2 linked regions of the Macaca fascicularis genome follow. The protein of the gene in region 2 purifies or fractionates together with the protein of the main gene of each other region. This does not show direct contact. Links are inferred from orthologs where the notes say so. Each region holds a gene or a part of one and is shown on either strand. Other genes may lie near its edges.

Region 1 (3,651 bases), on a different chromosome or scaffold from region 2:
CACAGCGAGGACAAGTCCACCACCCGAGCAGGGCGGTCAGATCTAACAGGCTGGTGCAAGGTCGGCCACATCAAATCACAGTTTACAACTTCTACATAAACCAAAGAAACCCCAGAACACCGGTGAGGACCCGGAGGAAGGCGCAGGCCCGCCGTGGAACATGAGTGCTGACCCCAGGCTGGGTGAAGCTGCTCGAGCAGAGGGAGAAGCAGCACCTCCCCCAGTTTCCACAAGGGCTTGCCCCCCCATGCTCTCATTGGCCCCATGAGACATGGAAATGCAGGGCCAGAGGGTGAGGAAGCAGTGGTGGCTGCAGAGGGCAGCCAGGACCCAGGGAGGGGCAACCCCAGGTCGCTTGGGAACCAGCACCGCTGTGGAGCCCACTAGGCCTGCATGCAGCAGGGGTCTCTCTGGGAGAGGGAACAGGTAATCGAAAGGAGCCAGAGCCTCCAGGATGGGGCAGCGATGACCTCACTGTCCCCGGCCCAGGAAACGGAGCTCGCCGTGAAGTGGGACACGCTACACCCACCTAAAGTCCCACAGCCACACACACCTTCCGGACCAGAATACCCGGCAGAACAGGAAGAAACAGGGTTCAAGACAGGAGCCCTGGGTCCGAGTGGGCAGCACAGTGACCAGCTCCATGCCTTGGGCAAGAGCTCTTAGCAGCGGCTCCTCAATGGGGCCAGCGGAGGGCTGAGGTGGGAAGGGGAAGACGACGGCACCCTACGGGCAGACCACGCTTCACCTACAGGAACTGTCCTCACATCAACAGGCAGCCGTGGCTGCGGGAGCACAGGCCCTCACCTGTGTGGCCTTGTAGTTTCTGTACAATCTCTTTCGTCTGAAGGTTCCAGATGTAAACAAGGTTATCCTCTGAGCCAGACACAATCCACTAAGTAACAACAAGCACGGAAAACAGGGCAAGGAAGAGCAGGTCAGCGCTCGTGTATGTGGAAGGGGCAGAATCTCCAGTTATGCCCCGCCCCACGCCCACCCCGCTGGTGGCTGCCTGGCTGAACTCAACCAAAAAGCCGTGCCTGCCCTCCAGCCAGGCCTGAGGCTTCCTCCCCCAGTGCGGACAGCCCCGCCTGCTCTACCCCAGCACGGGCCTCGGTCAAAGAAGCCAGGCACCTGCCTGCCCCAGGAGAGGCTTCCAGGCTGGAAGATGCTTCTCAGGTCCCCCTTTCCTGAGTCTGTGTGTCATACACATGCTGCCCGAGAGTCACCCCGGTCTAAGCAGCATCGAGACCAGTGTGGGTGGGCGGGAAAACACTCCCCTCCCTGCTGGGGCGGGTGGACAGCCTCGGAGCCAGCGCACCCACCCGGGGACACCCTGAGCCGCGGAGCTCCACCTGTGGGGTCCCAACCCCCTCGGAAGGCATCGGCCAAGCACTGCCAGCAGAGCCCGGCAACAGGCTGCCTGCCTCCATTAAGGAGCTGGACCTAGAAACAGACGGGACAAGGTGTCCCCGGTGCTTGGCGCAGCGCACTTTGGTTGAAATGGAAATTCATTGTGTGGGCACAGAAAAGCGTCTGAGTGTAAAGCAACCTGTAACAGGTGTGACCTCTCGGGAGAGTAAGCTGGGAACGCGTGAGACGCTTCAAGGTCATAAGACTCACCTTCCCGCCAGTAACAGAGAAATTAGCAAATATGCAGTATTTCTCGTTCTTGTGGCCAGTGTACGTCTTCAGGCACTGAAACAGGAGGGGACAGGCTGGTCACAGAGTCATGGATCCCCTTGATTTTGTATAATTCTACGTTCTAAGCAAGGCGTTTCACCACTGACTACACTTACTTCTGAAAAGTACAAGTACAAAACCCACACAATCGAAGATTTAACTTGCAGACTGCCACCCTACGAATACCCAGGTTTTTCAGGAATCTGCACCAAACCCGTGGAAATGATTCTCTGAGCTCCTCTCCTTTGTCATCAGCGGGGCCACTCTGTCCCCACCAGAGGCCATGACCCAGGGACGGCGCACAACGGGGGCCCGAGCCTGCGGGAGCTCACCTTGCCCTTGCTGTAGTCCCAGAGCTTCAGAGTGCTGCAAGACAGAGAGAGGCGTGAGGCGGCACGGCCGGAGGCGTCCTGTCCCCACGCCCAACTCTGCAGCCACTACGTCACGGCCACCATCAGCGCCAGGTGCAAAAGCCAGCGGGGATGCAACCCCCTTCCCCGTCAGGGTGAGGGCCCCTCAGGCTCAGAGTCCAGTGACTTGGCGTTGGGGAGCCACAGTGTGAGAGCCGCAAGTATTTGCAGTTCCAAGAGAGACTTTAACAGGAAGCTGACGGGTGTTATCGTCCCTGACTCAGGTCATCCTCAAAAGGGTGAGGAAGTCCTCTTGGTTCTGGAAACATCCAGAACAGGTTTTACCACCCAATCACACAGCCCTCAGAGGATCGGGGCCCAGACTTGGACCCACAGGGCTGAGGCCGCATGCGTGGGAAAGCTGGAGCTTAGAGAACAGTCCGGGAGGGCAGCGGCTTTGTGAGAGGTAAAACCAAGGTCCTCAGAGGTCAGAACCAGAAAGGGCCTTGGAGGACCCCGGACCACCTACTCCTTCATGCGGGATGGCTAGGCCTGCCCCGGCCAGAGTCACTCAACCAGAAAACCGACCCTAAATCCTCCTTTAGTCGGACCTGAGGTTCAGCCTCGGGAAGGGATGGGCAGGGGCCTGCCCTCTGACCTAACAGGCCACTGCCCAGAAGCCAAAGCTCCAGCAGGAGCCTGGGTCCCGTGCCAAGCCCACGACATGCTCTCCGAAGGCTCACGCTGGCGAGCAGGTGTCTCTGGCTGGGGAGGCCACACGCCCGCCCCCACGGTCCCGCGCAGCACTCACTTGTCCAGCGTGGCGGCCAGGATGTATTTGCCGTTCGGGGAGAACTTCACGAAAGACACTGGGGGGTTGTCGTCATCTGCAATAAAAACAGACGGGTGACACGGGGCGGGCGCTGACAGCTGGGCAGGGACAGGAGGTGGGACCCGCTCCCCGTCCCCCACGTGCGACATCTGAGTGAGGTCGGCCACCACCACCAGTGCCAGCACCACCACCCCTTGGTGCCCCGAAGGGTGGCCTAGCCACGCACACTAGCCGTGAGCAGCTTCTTGACACCTCAAGCCCATGGCCCCGGGGGCCCCTTGACACCAGGACTTTAGGAATACAGGCCTCCTCGGGCACCGGGCAGTGGCCATTCTCAGGAATCACCTGCCTCACAGGGGAGGGATGAGGTTGGCGAATGCCCAACTCAACGGAGGGACGACTCCACCAGCAGCAAAAAGAGCTGGGGAAGTCACCTTGGAAATTCTCCTTTTAAGAATTTATCGACGCAAGGGGCATTCGCGCCCACACAACCCATCTACTTGTTGTCACACCCACAGCTAAGGCCCAGGCCTATCAGCTGGACCCTGCAGCCCTGGGGGCAGAGTACAGCCACTTTTTCTCACACAGCTGAAAGAGTCAAGGCTCCCAGAAGCTGTCCATGTACAGGTCAGAGTTTTCAGGACGTGACAACCCCACAACCCTCACAACCGGAGGAAGGCGTTTCCCCTCGCCCGAGTGAGGAGGGGGGAATCTCAAGGAAGGTGTATCCTGGTGCAGTTCCCACCCCAGGCCCCATCAGGGACCCCCCCCCCGCCACCAACGAGC
Region 2 (3,454 bases):
ACAAGCATGTGGGCAGGTTTTACTTATTTTCCCGTAGACTTGAAACTTTGGAGGCCATTTAAGCCCTTGGGCAAAAATAGGCCAGGCAGCAACTGGGTAAATAGTCTGTCAGGGCACAGCAAACGAAAGACATGAGTAAATGTACATCATGACAAAGACGAGAAGCAGGCCCTGAACTGGGAAAGATGATTAGTGTGTAAAGTGCTTCCCGGATTCAATGGTAACTAACAGCTTATCGACAGGAAGCCTAGATGTAAATACACCACCACCAGAGCACTGAAGGGCACATTTTCAGGTAGACCAGGCATTCGACAGTATCTGCCCTTAGTGATGAGCATTGTTAAATACAGCACACTTAGCATCAGGCTATGGGTCAGTTATAAAGCAAAGCCACCTCTCCTCAGTCACAAGCCAATACCTTTCCAACTTTACCAAACCACTTCCTGAGTCGGATTCACAGGGGTCTTTACTAGATGTAAAAGCTTGATATTATGAACTAAATGCCTGTGTCCCCCAAACTTCCTATGTTGAAATCTAATCCTTAATGTGATGGCATTTGGAGGTAGGGCCTTTGGGAGGGGATTGGGTCATGAGGACAGAGCCTCCATGAATGCAATCTATGCCCTTACAAAAGGGACCCCAGGAAGTTAGCTAGCTCTCTTCACACCACACAAGAACAAGAAGTAGTAGGCAGTCTGCTGCCTGGAAGAAGGCCTTCCCCTGAACCTGACCATGCTGCCATCTTGGTCTTGGACTTGTAGCCTCCAGAATGGTGAGAAGTACATTTCCATGGTTTACAAGCCACCTAGTCTACGGCGCTTTGTTAAAGCGTCCCCAACTGACCAAAACCCCTGATCAGGGGAAACCAAGTACCAAGGGAGTGCAGCTCACTTTCCTGGAGATTCTTAAAGCTTTTGAGGAAAACATAAAATCTTGTCAGGAGCCTAACGTAGAAGATGGAATGAACAAATATTGTATAGTTAAAAGAGTTATTTGTCATAATTCAGTTCATAAGTCAGTACAGGCTAATTTCCTGTTAAACCCTCTAGGCTGTGGCACTGGGTTACAGCATCTGGGCCAGAACAGCTAGGCCAGTGAGCCAATGCTCTGAAGGCCTGCAATGTCCATCTGCGGAGAGCACCCGGGGGCAAGCAGAAAGTCTGCATTTCAAAACTCCAGTAGATTTTGCCTCAAATTCAAAATGCTAGCGAGAATTGTGGAGAAATGTCCCAGTATTAAAGCCAAGTTCATGTTTTCAGGTTAAACACATTCTAAGTCAAATCAAAAAGCAGGAAAAAAAAAATTTCACCGAGGTGGTAAAAGCTATGAAGAGAAGAAATGATTGGCGTAAAGTCAGGAATACAGCAAACTTCTGAAAGGAGGAAGGTATGTCTGGGCCTAGGCTATTCTGGGAGGGTGTGAGTTCATTTCTTGACCTGGGTGATTAAGGGATGTTCTCATTATCTGTTTTACTGTATTTCTGTGCACTTTTTGGTATTACAATTCCTACTAAAGAAATGCAAAAAGAAGTGCCACATGGATTCTTCTAGAATGACATCCATGCTCATTATGGAAATCAACAGCAATGTTAACAGCCTTCATACAATTACGGCAACTTTCCAAGTATTTCAAAATGTTCAATGTTTTGATTTACTCAAGATAGGGTAAACACAAGTGACTTCAGCTGTGAAATAGGTTTTTTGTGAGGATGAGTGATATATGTAAAGACCAGTGCCAGACATGTAATAAAGAGTTGCTCAGTAAGGGGCAGCTACTGTCCCCTTCTCTCTGAAAGAGCCTGGTGCCACCAGTCTGCTCTCTGCAGAAAGGGAAAGGCACTCGGTACTGACCCCAGAATGACAAGGCACCGGGCATCTTCTGCTATCAGGCTTCTTCCCAGCATTCAGCCATATTGGAAGTACTAGCCTGTTAGTAAAACACTTTTAAAAACGTTAAAAATCTAAAAATCACTGCAGATTCACAGAAGTTGTGAAGTGTCCAGGGAGTTCCACATGCACCCTTCACCCAGCCAGCTCTAATGTTAGCACCTTGCATAACTACAGTGCAATATCAAAACCAGGAAAATGACACTGGTCCAATCCAGACCTTATTTAGACTTCAGTTACACTTGCACTGACTTGTGTGTGTAGCTCCATGCAACTTTACGAGTTGCTGCACATAAGCACAGCACAACTCAGATACTTAACTGCACTATCGCAAGTTCCCCTCGTGCTACCACTTTCAAGTCACACTCGCCCCTCCTCCCATCCCTACCCCCAGGCAATCACTAATGTGTTCTCCCATTTCCGTAACTGTTAGCTCATGAATGTTATGACCAGATTCCATGACCCTCCTCCACTTTTGTGCCCAGTGACAGTGAAGTCACTCAGATAAGCTATCAATAGCACCTTCATTAACTAAGGTTCAGTTTGTTACTGTGAAGTACAATACTTTGTTAAGACTATGCCTTCCTGAAAGCGGCCACCATTACACTTTAGAGGTGGCAGCCCTGGTGGACTCAAAGAATTTAACTTACATTCACCTGTGAGAATAAAGATCCAGCTCCTCTTGCCCAAGATCCAAACCCTGAGATCTTGGTATAAAACTCACATATATGTTTGGACGACACTGAAACTTCGAAGAGCAGGGAACATGTCTCATAATTTGGAATGTCTTTCGATGCACCCAGCAGAGATGCACACAAGAGGCCTTCACAGGCTGCAGAAACTGGAATTTCAATTGAGTACTTTGCTTACTTTAACCTTAACTGTAATAAAGGAGCAGACTGCTGCAACTCCTAAGTGATACTTGATATAAAGTCCCATCAACCTTGACTAAACAGAGACCTCAACCTTCTTGTGCATCACACTTGCGATTACTGCCTTTTCAAAAGCTTTAAATTCTGCTTACTTACTGAACCACACTCTGCCTCAGACCATTTCGCAATTGGTTTTTGTTCATTGTAGGATTCCATTCCTGCTTGTCCAGATGTGTTGACACAAAATTATCCACTTTCTGCCTCAGGTTTTGGTAAGCTGGCTAAAATGTTAAAAAGAGGAGGCAAGGTCAGAAGTTACATGCACCAAAGTTTTGAACTTAGTCTCTCAGAACATTGCTTTTCACAGAAACGTTATCAAGCCTAAATACACTTCCATTATGCATGAAGATCACCATGCAGTGTGGCAGTCAGGAATTAATGGTTAACACAAGTGCCCACTTGATGGTGGGTGGGCACAATGCCAGGCGCTTTACTTATATTATTCCATTTACTTTTAAGTAACTCTACATGCAGCAGGCCTGACATCAACCCATAGCCTGGACCCACATTTGAGCAGCCTGCAGCCAAGCCACCAGCTGAAGCCTTCCTAGCTGCCCCGTGAACATGTGAACCGTGCTGGTTATAAGCTGCTGAGATTCAGTTTGTTATGCAGCATTACTGTGGCAAAGTTTGCTA

Evidence for each region.
Region 1: the proteins of BOD1 (region 2) and WDR5 purify together in Homo sapiens (affinity purification with mass spectrometry; 3 studies listed by BioGRID and IntAct, counting the BioPlex papers as one, with this or other methods). This does not show direct contact. The link is inferred for Macaca fascicularis from reciprocal best matches to the Homo sapiens genes BOD1 and WDR5.

Annotation. Positions count from the first base shown.
Region 1 is NC_088389.1:5,216,522-5,220,172, forward strand, and holds part of WDR5 (WD repeat-containing protein 5), read right to left. Parts: intron 2,921-3,651; coding exon 2,845-2,920; intron 2,050-2,844; coding exon 2,016-2,049; intron 1,699-2,015; coding exon 1,624-1,698; intron 896-1,623; coding exon 808-895; intron 1-807.
Region 2 is NC_088380.1:180,431,316-180,434,769, forward strand, and holds part of BOD1 (biorientation of chromosomes in cell division protein 1), read right to left. Parts: intron 3,040-3,454; coding exon 2,915-3,039; intron 1-2,914. UniProt on the Homo sapiens protein: Required for proper chromosome biorientation through the detection or correction of syntelic attachments in mitotic spindles.